3 linked regions of the Drosophila melanogaster genome follow. The protein of the gene in region 2 purifies or fractionates together with the protein of the main gene of each other region. This does not show direct contact. Each region holds a gene or a part of one and is shown on either strand. Other genes may lie near its edges.

What was found. Proteins that work in one complex are often made in the same cells at the same time.
Region 1: the proteins of Rab4 (region 2) and CG3164 purify together in Drosophila melanogaster (affinity purification with mass spectrometry, with the first as the bait; one large-scale study listed by BioGRID). This does not show direct contact.
Region 3: the proteins of Rab4 (region 2) and ccb purify together in Drosophila melanogaster (affinity purification with western blotting, with the first as the bait; one study listed by BioGRID). This does not show direct contact.

Annotation. Positions count from the first base shown.
Region 1 is NT_033779.5:126,919-133,802, reverse strand, and holds the start of CG3164 (uncharacterized protein), read left to right. Parts: upstream 1-3,011; 5' UTR 3,012-3,251; coding exon 3,252-3,295; intron 3,296-4,557; exon of another isoform or gene 4,558-4,819; coding exon of another isoform or gene 4,820-4,860; coding exon 4,861-5,003; intron 5,004-6,884. Other genes in the region: Gs1 (glutamine synthetase 1), read right to left, coding at 121-1,320.
Region 2 is NT_033778.4:17,570,951-17,576,810, reverse strand, and holds Rab4 (Rab4), read right to left. Parts: upstream 3,350-5,860; 5' UTR 3,113-3,349; coding exon 3,097-3,112; intron 3,028-3,096; coding exon 2,947-3,027; intron 2,877-2,946; coding exon 2,544-2,876; intron 2,481-2,543; coding exon 2,269-2,480; 3' UTR 1,832-2,268; downstream 1-1,831. Other genes in the region: Dcr-2 (Dicer-2), read left to right, coding at 1-1,416; CG42239 (uncharacterized protein), read right to left, coding at 3,610-3,708, 3,778-3,888; UQCR-6.4 (Ubiquinol-cytochrome c reductase 6.4 kDa subunit), read left to right, coding at 4,107-4,159, 4,288-4,408; POSH (plenty of SH3s), read right to left, coding at 4,809-4,983, 5,045-5,338, 5,398-5,577, 5,645-5,860.
Region 3 is NC_004354.4:21,190,228-21,195,894, reverse strand, and holds ccb (central complex broad), read right to left. Parts: upstream 2,643-5,667; 5' UTR 2,513-2,642; coding exon 1,939-2,512; intron 1,826-1,938; coding exon 1,608-1,825; 3' UTR 1,374-1,607; downstream 1-1,373.

The DNA of each region.
Region 1 (6,884 bases), on a different chromosome or scaffold from region 2:
CACAAGCAAACTAAATTTTGCTTCAGTTCAATGTAAATATAACCAAATGATCGGATACGCTTCACAGTTCCATAAAACATAATGTACAAAAAATTAAACATCTGTTGCACCGCTCACAGCCTACTCGTTGAGCAGGCAGGTGCGAACAATGGCGTTGCACACGGCGTAGGGATCACAGTTGGAGCTTGGCCGCCGGTCTTCGAGGTATCCTTTGCCGGCCGTCGCAACGCCACGCGGCACTCGCACACTTACGGCCCGGTTGGCCACGCCCCAAGAAAACTTATCGATGCTAGAAGTCTCAAGACGTCCCACGAGGCGCCGTTCATTGTCTTTGCCTTCCTTGGGGTCGTATGCCTTGATGTGCCGCTCGTGGCGCTTGCTCAGCTTCTCGATAGCTTCCTCGATGGCCTTGATTCCGCCATCAGCACGCATCTCCTTTGTGGAAAAGTTGGTATGCGCGCCGGCTCCGTTCCACTGACCCTCCATCGGTTTGGGGTCAAAGGTGACCACTACGCCATACTCCTCAGCTATGCGCTGCAAAATATATCGCGACACCCATAAATCGTCACATGCCTTAATCCCGGCTGGACCAATTTGGAACTCCCACTGCGCGGGCATTACCTCGGCATTGGTGCCGGCGAAGTCGATCCCAGCATACAGGCAGGCCACGACGTGGGCCTCCACAAGATCGCGAGCGTACACACGGTCAGCTCCCACGCCGCAGTAGTAAGGACCTTGTGGGGCTGGGAAACCGTTCTCCGGCCAGCCGAAGGGACGTCCGTCCACGTCTAATAAAGTGTATTCTTGCTCAATGCCGAACCAGGGCTCCTGATCGCTAATTAGGTCAATGGCTGCCTGGAACGCGGCACGCTTGTTGGACGCCGTCGGCTTGCCGTCGGCGCTGTAGGTGTCGCACAGGACAATTACGTCGTTCTTTCCCGGCTTAAAGGGATCGCGATATATGGCGCGTGGCTTGAGCGTGGTGTCCGAGTTCTCGCCATGGGCCTGGTAGGTGGAACTGCCGTCGTACTGCCAATCCGGCAAGTCCTCCACGGAGCTGGGTACTTTGTCCAAAACGCGATCCTTGAGGCGAATGTTCTCGCCGGTACCGTCGATCCATAAGTAAGTAGCCTGCACTCGATTGGCCGGCGTTTCCAGGTTGCGGTACCTCTGCAGAATGCTCTTGTCTAGAGCCGTGTTGGGGGAGTTGGCCAAGAACTGGGAGCGGGTGGTATTGCCAGTACGCAGCAGACGCAGCTGCTGTGTTGCGGGAGCCACCAGCTCCTTCTTCAGGAAGAGTCCTGCCACGCGTAGTGCCATCTTGGTTCTTGGATTGGAGTCGGCGAGAAGGACAAAAGGACACGGTTAGTTATGTATTGCTGGCGAATGTGAGGACGTGCGCAGGAAGGGCAAGGGCTGGTGGCATGCTGGCTCACTCTGCTTTTCTCATGAATTTTTATGTAATTATTTTCCTTGCACTTGATTTTCCGAGGTAGTTAAAAAAGGGGTACTTTTCCAGTGAAGACGCAGTCTTCCGCACAACTTACCGTGCTCTGCTCGTTTTTCCACTTTACAGTTATATGATTGGTTAAACAGTCGCTGGTTGGACAGGTCTTTTGGTAATTTTGGATTGCGGTACTTTCGGTTTTCGTTTCTGTTTCTGTCAGGGGCTGCGGAGCGACTGTTGGGGACACCCGACCAATTCGATGTTTGGAAGTCTTGTGAGCACAGTTAGCGCGACAGCATTCACTTTTTTCGTTGTTTCGTCGCGCGCCTCGGGTTTTTCTTTATCTCGTTTGCGACGCCGACGCACAGACAAAGGCCTCCCAGAGAGCATTCAAAACTGGCGGTATATGAGCACCCGCTCCGCAGCCACTAGCCAGAGAGACCTGCAATGCGACCCATAATGTTTATGTTTCGAGGCTAGTCGGGTAGCCAAAAGCCCCGTTACTGAGCACACGCTATAAGCTCATTTATGCATTTCGAGCACTTGTAGCTTGCATTAGCGCCAAATGAAAAACAAAAGTTTTTAGTAATTCTCATCGTAGAACACCTGCACCATTTATGTGCATGGCCCACTTTAGAACCCACAAATTAAGTTCTACATTTTTGATAAATTCATTTCAGAAACTATGATAGGTTACGCAGTATGCAGATGCATTTCAGCAGTACTACTTATTACAACACTCTCTCATTTCTCGTAATCTCTTCGTAAAAACCTCCACCATTTTGCTCTTTGGCTGATTGTTTTGAATACACGCCTGGTACAAAGTTCACTATATACAATTAAATATAGCGAATGCAAGGAGCACCGTATCAGCTGTGTCTATTCGTGTTTGGCATTTGATAAACTCTGTGGTGGACCGCATTAATAGAGCCTTAAATGAAGCAATAATGATTTGTTTATAATATGTAAATTCGGTACTAAATGTTCCTATTCCTGGCTTGGGTCTCGCATACGACGTTCTGAATATTAAAAATATATCTAACTAAAACTATAACTAAAATAGCAGTATAAGTACACAGTGTAGCCAACTTTTAGGCTGAGTATGTAAAACGTTGAAATTTAAATGCTATGTAAATTCTGATCTAAATATCCTGTGTGGAGGATATTCAATATTTATTTGTTACAGATTATACTTAGTCCTAGGCCGTCGTTCATCAAGCCACGCATATTGGCCCACTCCCTCCTACATAATGGCATGTTGTCGCACAAAAGCCGAGACCACAGATATGTCTTCCAATTATTTGTTGGTTGCCTCGTAACTTAGAGGAAAGTACTGAAGAACGGATGAGTATATTTCAGATAGGATTAATGTTAAAATAAAGCTAAAACTCTGTTTCTGGCGGGAAAGCAAGCTTTTTTGGACGGCTCATATTGGGAGAGCTTCAGGTGGGCATAACAAAGAAAACAAGGAAAACAGAGGAAACTTTTATGTGCCAATGTGTGAGTGCCACTTTTCACCATAGACCCGAGTAATTCCCATATAGCCGTCTACGCTTTTCCAGTTACGTGGCATCGTTTCCACTAGTTGGCCGGCTTCAGTTTTCGCAAGAAACTACGAAAGTTTCCCTCCAGCAGAGTGTACATATTTTTACACCCGATGTGCAACAACCAAATACAAAATCGCTAATTCTTATATTCGGTTTGGGTTTCGACTGCCTATTCGTTATTGCCTGCGACTTAGCTTTCGCGAAGGCAACTTGTTGCTTCAAAGCGATGGTTTCAGTAGCTGTTGAGTTACGGCACCATGAACCAGTATAGTTGGAAGCAGTTTTTGGAAAATAATAATCTGTAAGTAGCCGAATCAGGCGGGTCTCAAGCAAAATGCATCACATTTAGTTGGCACATCTAATATACCACACCCCCCGTTTATAAAACGAAATCAACAAGTGTAGAACAACCGGTTTGCAATTCCTGCCAATTGTTGACATCTCCGTGACTTGATTAGCCACAAGCTTTAAAAAATTTCCAAGCCAATAGTCATCGGGAAATTGCCAGTGGAAATACATTATTCTTTCATATCTTAAGGCGACTGCATAACTTTAGTGCTGTATGCTGATTTGAACCCAGAAACCGAACTAGGAATAATATCTCAAATTGCGGTTTGTACTGGGAAAATACCTTTTGTTGGTCAATTCATTACGTTTTTACTTGCCCCAATATATACAATAACCGGTTTAACTAAACGTTATTAGCACTCCCAGTGCAATCCGTAAATCCCAATTAGATTGGGCAAAATATAGACCGGAGCATCGTAAAAGCATGCCAACAAGGAGCCTTACAGCAATGTCTACATCTAACTGTTGCGTTCAGATATACCACAAAACTGTTTCTGGGGCAAAGTTGTAAGGTCGTCCCACGCCATAGCCACAAATGACCTCATGCCACATTAAATGTAGGGAAAAGCAAAATGTAGGTAAAATGTCGCGTAAGCAAACCATTAAAAAGCGTACTAGAGCTCCTTTAAACGAATTACGGCACCGATTAACTTATTTTTACGTAAAACACGAAATGACAAAGTACAACCCCTTATCGGCTCATTGAAAACTCCTATCAGCTGTAGATTGACACCCATAGATAAGCCCCTCCAATAACTCATGAGTCATGAGCGAGGCCGTGAACTTTTAACTTAGATTGAATAAACCAATGGCCAGAACCTTAGCTTCCAGGACTAACTACTATAAAAGGCTGATAAACCAATCAAAGTACAAGACTGGGAATCAAAGACCTTCCTCAAGGTAAAGACTTTCCTCGAAATTAGTTAGTGGTATTTTATTTCGAGATACATGGGTCCGCCGATCGAGGAATATTCACAGATTATAGGCTTTTCCCAAATTCATTCAAGACTTAGTAGAAGAATGCGCTGGCTTTTGAGAGAGAGCCAACCCGCAGTGCCTCTCAATCGCACTAGAATCCCCACCAGAAGTAGTGCTTCTATTGTCGTCCCACTCTAACCACAGACGTAAAGCATTGGGGCTGTGAGAGTATGCGATGGCACTCTCTGTCAGCGGTTGCCTAAATTTCTGCCTTTGTTCCACTGCCGCAATTGCTTATTTCAGTTGCGATCGCGGCGCGAGCGAGTGAAGTCCTAATATTTGAGAAGCGGCAGTACCGTTTCGAGCAGACGGGTGGAAAATTTCTCTCACCGGACCAGACGGTGGTGGAATCGAATCGAGAACGCGAACGAAAAACCAAACGGGAACGAAGGGCAGCAGGGGCTGCAGTATTGCTGTCAGTGCTAAAGTTTACAAAGAATACACACACAACACAGTGGTTGCATTTTGCTTTTTAACCCCTGGTTGATTGATTGACAAGATGACTAAGAACGATAATGCAAATCTGTTGAACGACAACAGACTGGGCACAGCCGGAGCGGGTCAGTTGAAAGCTCAAATAGTACCCGCCCAGCCAAAGACGCTCCAGCACCTCCCCAAGCGACCAGCGGTGGACCTGGCCTTTCACAACCTGACGTACCGCGTCAAGGAGGGGAACCGGAGCAGTAAGTACTTCCACTGTCTAGTACCTCTCTCTATATCAAGCTGCACTCCTCGGCAGCACGAGAGCGGGATCTTGAACCTCCCGCGCCTGCTCTCACCTCACCCTAGAGCTTTTGTTTCCGGTCCTGGCTAGTAGTACTCCGCACATGTGTTATTGAGCTAGTTCTCCGGAGTACTCTGTCGCTATTACGCACTTCCCTGGCTTTAGCGGGTTTTACTTGTTTGCTTTAGCTGCGCTTCGCATTGTGTTGGTTTCTGGTTTCTTTGTTCTTTTAGCAGCTGTAACGCAGTATCAACACTCAGACTGTGAGCAACGGAGAACTTCGGGTTGTGGCTGAGTAGATATGTAACCCGTCGTCTCTTCGTCAAATTCATTTCCCAGTTTCACAAGGGCGGCTCTGGCCAAAGTTCACTAGGTTTCACCGCGATAAGCACTGCTAAATACATCAAAATCATCAGCCAGTAGCCGCGGAGTAACTGCCCACACAAGCTATTTCGCTATTGGGACAGTCAACAACTTGGTTCGATGCCATAGCATCTAAAAGGCGAGGAGCCATGTACTCGCACTTTTCTCACGTAGCAGTGTATCTACTTTAAAGCATGGGTGGAGCACAATGGGGTTTTTTTTTGGATCTACTGCTTTTATGGAAAACAATTTGTGATGACGTGCCAGAGGGAGAGGTATTGTTTTTATACCCTTTCCTCGTAGACTGCCCCTGATCCGCCAAAAAAAAAAGGATTATGAAATTGAGTAGCGGGTATGTTATAGTTGAGGAAGTCAAGACTGATGGCGGCGGTATGTGCTTTCTGTGTTAGCAGAGCGATTAGGATTTAGTCACTGCCAATAGCTAGCTTTAGTCGGGTGTGGTGGTGAAAACACATTTGTGGTAATATGCAGTGCCCCGGTGGGGCCGTTCAGAATAAGTAATGATGGCCGAGCGATAATATTCCATTAGTTTGGTATGCGAACGTGCACAACTGCTTTATTCTTATATTTATAAAAGCTCATTCATGAAACCCACTCCCCTCGTTGTCGCATTGGATGGCTGGCCTCACGGCGGACATAGTCCGTGAATCCCGTCTAAGATTGAGGGACTGTCAAAGCCTGTTTTTAAGCCCAAGGCCAGCCAAGTGCAAAACTAATTGGAGAAGGCAGCAGCCTGAACTTTGCACACCTCAAAGGTCGGCCATCCGACTCAATTAAGTCGTTCAGAATAAGCGAATATACACAGATTTATTTACACTGCCCTGTGAGCGTGCCCCACCTAGCCGAAAGATTTGCAGATGGCACGCCGCCTTCTGGGGTGTGCTAAGTTATGTGCCAAAATAATGTATACAATATAAGATGGAAGTGAGGCAACAGATGGAAATTGCGCTGATTTTGGCTAACTATGCCACTTAAAGTAAACACAATTAATGAAGTAAGTGCCTGCTAACGTTTTCGGCTGCTATATTAAAACAGATATAAATAAATTCTGAAAGCGACTTTCTGTGCCCTTGTTGCAAGTTTGGCGTAACCTTTTCTTAGGAGCCCTGAATGGTTCCACTTGTTGTCCAATCCGGTCATAAACATCAAAGCTACGATTTGGCCTTAGCGCTGGACTATAGTTTTTCAAGCGTGACCCCACTTTTGGTGCTATTACATCAATTGGCAAGCAAGTAAGTTCAATGAGAGACATTGCGTACCTAGTGGTTACGACTTGCTAGTCGCTGCCTGGCAGCTGGAATTCATTACCAGCTTTTAAAGTCTACGTATTAAGTAAGTCGCCGAATAAAACATTTACAGTCCCTGCATGAGCTTAATAAATTTGAGTTTCACTTCTGAGCGGGTCACGGTACTTTACTAATCGGAGTTATGACAAACATAAAATGAATTATTTCGT
Region 2 (5,860 bases):
AACCTGTTGTTCTGCCTCATCGACGCGGACATTCCCAAAACGCTCAACACCATTCAGTTTACGCCTAGATACACATGGCTTCCACCTGGCATCAGTTTGCCCCACAATGTTCTAGCCTTGTGGCGAGAAAATCCGGAATTCGCAAAGATTATTGGCCCACACAATCTCCGTGACTTGGCTCTCGGCGATGAGGAGTCCCTGGTGAAGGGCAACTGCAGCGATATCAACTACAACCGCTTCGTGGAGGGATGTCGAGCAAATGGGCAGTCCTTTTATGCCGGTGCCGATTTTTCATCCGAGGTGAACTTCTGCGTGGGACTGGTCACGATTCCCAACAAGGTGATAGCCGATACCCTTGAGGCGCTATTGGGCGTAATCGTTAAGAACTACGGATTGCAGCATGCCTTCAAGATGCTAGAGTACTTCAAGATTTGCCGTGCGGATATTGACAAGCCGCTTACTCAGTTACTGAACCTCGAACTGGGCGGCAAGAAAATGCGGGCGAACGTGAATACTACAGAAATTGACGGCTTTCTCATAAATCACTATTATTTGGAAAAAAATCTTGGCTACACGTTTAAGGATCGACGATATTTGTTGCAGGCCCTCACCCATCCCTCGTATCCCACTAATCGCATCACTGGGTCCTATCAGGAGCTGGAATTTATTGGCGATGCCATACTCGACTTTCTAATCTCTGCCTATATTTTCGAGAACAATACGAAAATGAATCCGGGCGCCCTCACAGATCTGCGTTCCGCTTTGGTCAACAATACTACGCTGGCCTGCATTTGCGTGCGGCATCGGTTGCACTTTTTTATCCTAGCGGAGAACGCAAAGCTCTCCGAGATCATATCCAAATTCGTGAATTTCCAGGAGAGCCAGGGTCACCGGGTTACCAACTATGTGCGCATTCTGCTCGAGGAAGCTGATGTTCAGCCGACTCCGCTGGACTTGGATGACGAATTGGATATGACTGAGTTACCGCATGCAAATAAATGCATTTCTCAGGAAGCAGAGAAAGGAGTCCCACCAAAAGGTGAGTTCAACATGTCCACAAACGTGGATGTGCCAAAGGCGTTGGGGGATGTTCTGGAGGCCCTTATTGCAGCCGTATACCTGGACTGCCGAGATCTCCAACGTACTTGGGAGGTAATTTTCAATCTCTTCGAGCCGGAGCTTCAGGAGTTCACGCGCAAAGTGCCCATCAATCATATACGACAGCTCGTTGAGCACAAGCATGCGAAGCCCGTGTTTAGCTCGCCCATCGTCGAAGGGGAAACTGTAATGGTTAGTTGTCAATTTACCTGCATGGAAAAGACGATCAAGGTGTACGGATTTGGGAGCAATAAGGACCAGGCCAAGCTATCGGCTGCCAAGCACGCCCTTCAGCAGCTAAGCAAATGCGACGCCTAATATGATGATTCCAGCCCAGTCTAGTTTCTGCTAAACTGCATTGAATTTGCTTTCTAGCCAAGACGTAATCCTTTGGAAGAGGACAGCAAAGGGCACCTAATGAACTTAACTGTATATCTTAGAATTAAAAAATACTTTTCCATCGCTTTAATAGACATAAATGTCTAAAACCAAAAAATCATTTTTGATCACCATAAATTGTTAAGACCTTTTAAATCAAAACAAAAACAGCCCATTTGGAAACACAATCTAAAGATGCTATGCCAATTTCCTCAAATACAAACGGTTTTTAATTATTTTTTTATCAATTATTGCCATTTAAAATGTTTTAGCTTCATTGTTATTAATAAAATTTAATAGCTTCCCCAATACAATATTTGTTACCTTGGGTCGAAATAAATATTTTTATACAATTGAATTTATCAATGGGCGTTTTTATTTACCGCGTGCATGCTTCAATGGGATTTACAATCGGCGACGTCGTCAACGGCGTATCGCTACTTATTTACATTAAAAATGCCGAGTGTATTCTGTTCATCCTCTAGATCAGATCCATGTGCTTATAGCCATACATCATTTGTTGCTCGAGGGCTCTAGTGCTTCACGAATTACAAATTATAGTAAGTAACATTTGGGGTTAACCCGAAATCATAGGTTTTCAAAGTGGTAATTGGTTATGTTAAAAAACAAATCGATTAGCATTATGCTTACAATTGGAATGATTAATCTAGCAAGACAAAATACATACTAAAAAAGTGGACACACACAAGTACACAATACAACTAAGGGGTAATCCGAATGCGCATTCCGGTTTGAGATTAAATGGAAATAAATCAGCACAACTTATGCGACTTAAACGCGACAGGTGCAATCCGGCTTATTGATGCTGCGCTGTCGTGTCTGTAAGTTACGGAGAGCAGCTCCGCCGTACTGAATACCGCTGCCGATGCGCTCGGGATCCAGCTCTCCGGTCTCAATTTTGGCCAGTATGGTCTTTGAGCACTTGAGAAAGGCCTCTTCAACATTCTCCCCCGTCTTGGCGCTCGTCTCCAGGAAGATAAGCTCTGCAACGACAAACAGACGTAGAATTACGATAGGAAATTTATGGAGAATCCTAAAAAACAGACCGTTCTCTTGGGCAAAGGTGCTTGCTTCCAGAAAGGTCACATCACGCGCCTCCTCCAAGTCCTTTTTATTGCCCACCAAAAGGATCACAATATTTGGGCTGGCCAGAGTGCGAGCATCATTCAGCCAGTTTGTCAAAGCATTGAAAGAGTCCCGCGAAGTGGCATCGTAGACCAGGAGAGCTCCGGCTGCTCCGCGATAGTACGATCTTGTCACCGATCGGAATCTCTCCTGACCGGCTGTGTCCCATATCTGTAGCTTTACCGACTTGCCGCCCACGTTCACAATCCGCGAGCCGAACTCCACTCCGATGGTGTGCGAACTGTCGTCTTTGACTTTGATGGTACATCAAAATGTATAAAATGCATTAGGCGTGTACCATTTTCAGGCTACCACCAAACTTACACTTGCTCTCGATGAAGTGATGCAACAGACAACTCTTACCGCTGCCAGCACTGCCAATTATCAGGAACTTGAACAGGTAATCTAGGTGAGCGCCGAGCACCGATATTAATTAGTAAAATGCATTAATTAATTAAATGTGTGCTGACAAACCGTATGTTTCCGACATTGTTTTTGTTCGTCTTCTGCGTAGTTGTCTTCTTTGTTTGTTTTGGTTTTTCGGCCAGACTTCAGGACTATCGGATTGCTGGTGCGTATGGGCACCAGGAAGTGCGCAGGACACGATCAAAACCCGCAATATCCGTCGATAAGTAAGCGTTTAAACAATTAGAAAGCCAAAAATTACCTTAAAATCTTTGACTGGACTCACTTCAGTGAGAAGGTTCGCTACAAACGCGAAAATACCAACAAGGGGTGGGTGTGACCAGGTGGTTCAAAATATGATTCATATTGCAATTAAGTTTTTGTTTACTTTTAAAATATTTCCAAATATATGAAAATTGCCGAAAGCTACAAAGAAAAAACAAAATATGAAATGCAGCCCACAAAGGTTTATTGTCTTTTTTCAAAAACCCTCTTCTATTCATCACACAATTTGCATACATACATATATGCAATAAAAGTATAAAAGATGGTGGGCCCTGGTAATCCAACCCGGCACATAGTCTACGTATCCTTTTGCTTCTCTGGTTCGTAGTCTTGATAGCAATTAATGGGATCCTTGGCCGTATAAACTGAGTATGCCAATTTGCTGCCCTTGAAGTTCTGTAAACTCAGGGCAGAAAGGGAAAATTACTTAAAATTAACCATTCTGATAAGCACTATCTGCCGTACCTTCATATCGCCAGATATCAGAGTCCAAAGGAAAACGAACACCGCCGGTATCACAGTGGACAGGACAAACAGCTCGAATGTGTTAAGCTCCCCAAAAACGGATATTTTCATTTTAATTTCGTAATTTTTGATGAGTTCTTTGCGAATATTAGTTTTTGTTGATGACTAGTTGTTGTTCTCACGTAGGCCGCACAGTGTTGTCACACCTTGCTTTTAAAGTTTTACGCTATCCTACGGTCACACTGTAGTGGTATTATTTAGGACATTTGAAACTATTGCGTTCATTGCGAACATTTTGGTGCGTGTGAAAAGTTATTAAATCAACAAAAATGGCTTTCCGCATACCTTTTGGCAAGAAGCACGCTGAGATAGCGAGTTCCTTGTAAGTATATGCTGTCGTGCTTGATTCTGCATCATGAATTCATTAGTGTTCCCGCTCTTTTACTGCTACCAAAGCACACATTGCATAACCCCATCCAGAGAACTAAACTAGTTTCTTTTAATTCGTAGCATCCGATCTGGAGCCGGATTCGGAGGAGCTGCTGGCCTGGCCGTGCTTTACTACACCGACTGGAAGCTGGTCCTACAGTACGTGCCCATCTACGGATCCAAGTTCGAAAAAAGCGAGTAACCTTGCCTGCCGTAGTTGAATCCACAGTTAGCCTCGATGTTTTGCTTGGTGAATAAAATAAGTTAAAACGACCAAAGGGTATTACTGAGTATCGTATATTACAAATAACTTTGTAGAGGGCACAAGGATCGGTTAGATTATTTCTCTAGCTAACTAATCGCTAAGGCTTAAGTAACTGTTCCCTAAGTCTTACATGGCTAGCCTATTTTGATCAAGCATTGTATAAAAAAGTACAACGGCGAGCTGCCCATTCGATTGGAAGAGTACAAAACGGTTTCTTTTTTGAAAAGAGAAATATGAGATTGCGTATTTGGAAGCCCGAATAGACCGACGATTGAATCCTTTTAGACAAGTAATTTGGAATTTCGCTTAATAAATTCTAGTTTGAACCATAACTTTCCTAACAATCCGGTTCAACAAAGGAGGCGGGGAACAGCCCGGTTTTGTGGGTACGGGCATGGGTGCCCTTATACCAGCCGTTCTTCTGCTTCCGCTGGACGTAGATAATGTCGCCCAAATGTAGCTCTAGTTCAATGTCACTGTTTGGTGGATACGGCACAATGCAGCGGAATCGACTACGATAAAAGGTTGCATTAGTAAATCTCTAAGCTCACAATAATGTATTGCAAAACCCACCTTTCCCTCGTGCAGTAAGGAGACTTAGTGGTGGCGCTGGCCTTAATGGCCGCCTCCGTGATCATATTGCTGCTGGGACTCAGCACATGACTCGCATCTAGGCTGTGCGACTTCCGATGGCTGGGTGCAATAATCATATTGGCATGCAACTGGGATTGCGCTCCACCTCCAGGAATCACCTGTTGCTGACCGCCGGCGTAGACAGCTGGGGCCACGGAAGTAGTAGGTGGCGGCGGCGACGCGGCATTGTTGTACATACTGCGAAATGTAGCTGCATCTAATGATTGTCTCGCGCTGAATCAAAATCCAAGAGTCAGTTAAAAGTTAAAGCATTCAAATTAAGCCTAACGAACCAAATCAAGTGAGGACGTTCCTTGCTTCCTTTCACGCGTTGCGATCCGTACGAAACGCTGTTCGTAGAAGCGGAAGGCAGCTGCTTGGGTAGGAACTGCTGTTGTTGTGCCGCTGTCTTGGCTGCTGGAGTTTCATTGAGCGGTTGACTGTGCTGCAGCTGACTGGGGCACGAGCCGGATCTGAAGAGACAAAACAATTAAACTTTTATTCTGGTCTATAAAGATAACTTATTATTGCGGATCTAACCTTACATGTACTGGATGCAATTTAGCTGATGGGTTTGTTGTAAATTCCACATTTGTGCTAATAGCTTCTTTCGGAACTTGCTGCAAGGACGCTCCCGGAGATTTGGAGCGTGTTTTCATGTGAGTTAATCTCCTCATAAGTCCCACTGCTCCAGAGGAACTGCTGCTCGTAGTCGAAGCTGTGGCAGTTTCAGGCTTGGGCTCCGATTTTCTGCTG
Region 3 (5,667 bases), on a different chromosome or scaffold from region 2:
AACTCTGAGGGACAGCTAAGTCAGGCCCTCTTTCGGAATGGGTTTACTTGGGTTTCCGAACAGATTTCGGATGGGGGCGACGTCCATAAACGGATTATAATGCGTGAACCCGCCCCCTTTCCGACCACCCAACGCCTACTTATGCCTGCCCATCGCCGGGCAGTTAAACCGCTGACGGAAATTCTGTTCCTTGCTTCCCGGGCTTACTTTTAACGGTGCACTATGCAAAATATTTTATATTTAAGTCGTAGCGTAAGCCACCTTGTTCGAAATACCTTTTTCTCGAATGAGTCGCACACGTTTTTCCATCAAGTAAATATATATATATATTCTCTTTCCATATTTTGTAAATATAGTCAAAAGCTAGCGATTGAGGCTAAATCGCACAGCATAACATTTCTCGAATGAAATGTATATGGGATTTCCCGAGTGTACCATCCTGCCGCCCATCCGCGCTGCTTTCTGAGCTTTGTCGAGGCAAAAGTCCATTTTGTCACGTTTTATATTGATATTTAAAAAAAAAACAACATGGAAGGAAGGTGGGAGGGCGGAAAGCCGGAAAAGGGCGAACCGCCGCGGCAACAACTAACAACTAAACAAAATGGCAAAACAAATTTCTGCGCGTTTTGCTCCGCTCAGCACGTAGGCAGGGGCGTTGCAGGGGCTCGGCAGAGAAGGGGAGGTCGATGGCTTTTCACGTGGCAGCCACGTAGCAAATGGCAGCGGCGGACGGAAATTGCAATTGAGTGCAAATTGCAAGAAGAAAAGGGTCCCGTCCCGTACCCTACGACCCACCCACATCACTTCCACTCCGCTCCTACTGCCCAATTTTCACCCACTTCCTGTCGCCCTCTTCCTTTGACCCCGCCATCGCCGCCCACCTTCTCCTTCGATTTTCGTATACTTCCTGCCGAGAGCCCACTACATTCTTAATGCCCCCACTGGCCCGCAGTGATTTCCGAGCCGCACACACTCCGCTAATGAATAAATCTGGCCATCTTGAGCCGTTGGGCCGTGGAGGCGGTTTTAATGATTAACCATCGACAAGGCTGCGTTGCATTCACCGCCCAGTTTCTGCCACTGTAGCACCCCTCCGCCCCTCGCCTCCATCCATATTCAACTTTAGCAACTTCGGTGGGTCGCATGTTTGCTTGCTCTCGGCGCCTTTAACTTTATCGTCCTTTGTCACGTTCTGGGTGCGATTTTTATCGCCCGAAAGTTGCGCGGAATAACAGGAGGCTTTAATTAATTTCCACACCGAAAATCAATCAGATTTGACCACTTCACAACCCGGTTATTTCCCTCAATATAAGCCTGGTACTCAATGGGCTTTCCTTTAACCTTTAAATTAAATGAAACAGGAGACAGTTTTTCAGTGTGCAGTGTACATAATTTAATTTAAATGAAATAAAGCAAGGACAAATTTAAAGTGTAAGGTGTAATTTGATGTTTTTGATAGGTAGATTGTGCGAATTTGGCATTGTAGTTGTATGGAGTGTATGGAAACAATTAAGAAGTTAAATACAAAAGTTATCCATAACTGCCATAATGGGCTATTATCCTCGGCGAAGCCATATATTTTACTAGATCTCGATATCATCATGAAACTACTCTTGGTTTGGCCAGTCCTCAATCTCGTAATACAACTCCCTCATGGCATCCACTTCCTGCTTCCAGCGCTCAATGATGCCTAGATGCACCTCCACGCCTATCTCCTCAAGCTTGTCAACGATCTGCAGCACACATATCTGATAATAGGCTCTGCTCGACGCATTATCAATATCATTATCGAAAAGCCTTGGAAAAAACAACGTCACACATAAGACTGCAAGAGAGATTGCATTTCTTAATATATATTAAAAGTAATACTAAAAACAATAAAAGCTTGATTGGAATAATTTGCGTGTGTTCATTTGAGGTCGCATATGGAAAACTTACCGATCCTAATTAGCAAGAAGATGTTAGTATACCAGATGATGTTACGCACTGCCTCCAGGGCAAGCATCATCAAAAAGAGCTCGAAGATTTCAGTTTGAAAGAGGATGCAATGCAGCGTGACCAAGCAGCGATTTACACAGTTGACCACGCGCACAACCATTTCCTGGGTGATGTGCACATTGAAATCGGCGCGGATCAGACGCTCGTAAAGATGGAATCGCACATACGGCCGGATGGCCTTGTAGATCATTATGTTGCTCAGGATCATCATGCCGACTACAGCCAGCTGTTGCAACAGATTGAAGCTTTGAAGGACCTCGAAGGCATTGAGGATAAGAAAGCCTAGGCTCAAAAAGATGGAGTTCCACTCGTGGCGCACGAGCAAATCAAACAGAATTCGGGGCCAGGTGAGGGCTGTAATCATCTGATAGATCTCATGGAACGTGTATTTTTGTGGGCGGGAAGCCGACTCCACCACATCCGGGATGTTACCAATGGCATTGGGTGCTTCTTGCCTTACCGCCACCTGCTGTTCATTTTCAAATGTGTCGTTTGATATAGCCATTATGGTCATTTTTCGTCTTTCTTGCTTAGAAAACGGATGCACTTCTTTTTATGGAAAAACTTGTAAAAAAATATAAATTTTGATTTTGTTGTTCAGCCAACGGAGCTCTGGCTGAGACTGAATGGTACGGCAAATCTGTCATAGAGCCTAAATGACATTGTACTGAGTACTTTCACCAGGCCTATTCAAAAAGGTTTCAATGTACTACCAATACTTTACACAACATTTTAGAATCTTAAATAGGTAAGCGGAAAAGAAAGATACACCGCTTTGATTATAAATAGTAAAATCCTATGTTCGCTATTGTGCTCGCGACTTTCGATAACTAAAACTATGATGTTTTCGTGACCAAGCTTAAATACTTGTGGGCTGGTCAATTAATTTATTCATGGCCCTGGGGAGACGAGTCCGATTTTCGACGCCCAAATATTTCTAAATATTTGCTCAGTTCGTCTGAAAGGACAAAGGACCCACGAGGACAAAGGAATGCGCTGTGTTTGGACTTGCTGCGTGTGCGTAATAAATAAATAAAATCCCATTCGAAGCCGGATTGCCAGAGGAGGAAACAATTGGCTGGTGGGGGCGTTTAAGTGCAAAATTGTAAAATGCCAGTCCCAGACTAAATGGAAATAGTAAATTGGAAATTGGAATCGCTGTTGCCGCTAATGAAATTCGATAAAATGAACCGAAATCTAACCGAAATGATGCCGACATTCAAAGGCAAAGGGGTGATGGCCAGCGATCTATTGCAAACATTTTGTGCGGAAATTGGTAAAACTCTTTGATGTCAAAATGCGGAGAGGGATTTCAGGGCGCGGCGATTGCCTTTTCCTGGCTAATCTCCAGTGTCAGCCCGAAACGTAAATCAAAACTGCAGCTTCAAGTGGCTCACTAATTAGATTAACTTGGAGCAGCGGCGAAAAACCGACGCACACACAGTGAGTCGCAAAAAGCTGTTGACTATTTCGCAATTTGTTTTTGCAGCCGGATGGTAAAATCCGTACACTTGGATGAAATGTTGTGCAGAAGCTTTAATAATAATCTGAAAGTAAGCTATGCTTGTGTGAAATCAAGTATACGACTGCTTAGATAAAAAAATCCGACTGCTTACATTTTTTGTGCCTTTTTTAAGATAAAGATTTGTAAAAGAAGACAAATATTTTATCCGCTGTGCAGCAGAGCTCAGATATTTTTGGTATATATACATATATATATATGTTTTTGACTTGGCGCCAGCGAATTATGCTCGAGTTTCTTGCCCGTGTCTCCGTTGCTGCCATCTCTTGCTTAATTATTTCCTTGGCTAGAGCAAACAATCAACATAATTCCTGACACGCCTCCCACGCCCCCCCGGCCAGTCGGGCCTCCCATTTAGCAGCTCCTTTTCATTTTCGCCATGTCTGCGACATAATGAAAAATGTGGAAAGTTGCAAGTTGGCAATACAAAAAGCAGGCGGAGGGAGGCCCCTCATTAGCTGCACTTGAAGAAGAACCTCCTAAAATCAATGGCCTTTAATCGCCTGCCAATTTTCCATTTTCCTCATAACCAGAACCTTTCCCAAAACAAGCACAAACAAAACAAGAGAGTCAAGTTGCCCGACTATCAGATACCAGTTACAAGGCTACTGGAAATGTGAAAGCGAAAATATGTAAATTTTTTTTTTTTAGGAAATCGATAGATATCGGGATAAATAGAAATTTAAACGAAAAAAAAAATGTATTAATTGTTTAAAATTGTGAGCGTGACTGTCTTGGGCGTTTTGTATATGGGAGTGGCCACAGTGTTTTTGGTATACAGATAAAAATTGGCAAGACGAACAATAAAACGAAGAAAAGTCAAAACATTTTTTAAAAGTGTGGGCGTGGCAGTTTTAGGCGGCTTGTGGGCGTTAAAGTCGGCGTGGCAACATGAGTCAACAAACTTGCGCTTCGTCTATGTCTCTAGAGTCTGCATGTATAATCTCAACCTTCTAGCTACTATAGTTCCTGAGATCTCAAAACTCATATACGGGCGGATCCTGATCACAAATATATATGCCTTATATGATCGGAAATGCTTTCTAACTGTTACATGTTACATACTTTTCAACGAATCTAGGTTACCCTCTTACTCTACGAATAACGGGTATACCAAACACAACGTGGAAGATAACAGGTGGAAAAGGGGTCGTTGTATTTGGGTTGCCAAAACGGACTTTCCCAACACTTTCCCTTGTTTTTATTTACATTTCGGTTTCAATATTACCAACAGCTGCATAAATTATCTTTACAACCTAAGCTGTTTTTCCAACTTTTCTCGCATGTGACCGCGTGTGGCTGTGGTTGTGTGCGAATTTTTCCAACTATAACTATCGATCTCACTTAAACCTCCTGGGTCCTGACTCCTCCGTCTGTCCATCTGTCCGTCTGCTGGCCCATATGCAAACCGGCAATAAAATCTAAATATTTTGCATATAAATCAAATCGATGGAAATTTTCGGGACAAAGCGAAGGTGCCATGTGTGTGTGTGTGTGTGCTGCAGACAGAGGGGCATCGGGCATGGGCGGGGCAAGGTGAGGGGCGCTGAAGGACCCCACTAGATTTGCAAATGCAGCTGAACAAGGGGGTTTCAACGGAGCGGCCATAAATTAGAAAATCTTTTAAAGGAAATCAGTTTTCAGACTTCGCAAAATAATGTATTAAATAAAGGTATTATTTTTGGCGCTAATTAAAATTTTAGCGACACTCCGCCTTTAAAGGAATCAGACGCAAGTTTAATTCCAGGAAACTAAAATTTCATGTATTACTTTTAAATGTTCAATATGTTTTTCAATTATTTTTTAAAATACGTCACTTTTTTGTATGTATGTGTATATGTTTATACAAATATATAGAATAAAAGCGAGAATCTTTTCTGAAAGAGACCCCCTTTGACAAACGGTTACCCTTCGCATGTCCCCCTGTCTAAATCAGCGGAATGTTTCTAGTTTGAGTAGACGCATTTGGCTAGAAACGGGACAAGTGCGCATCAGTGGGGTCAGGTCCAGGGTCCAGACTGGCAATTGCCTTGTGTTTTGTGGCCGTGGAGCCCGCACGCCTTCGATGTGGATAAATGCAGATGCAAATGCTCCGGAACAAATTGCGAGGAGTCGCGCCGATACTTCTACCGTATGTGTCCTCCCAG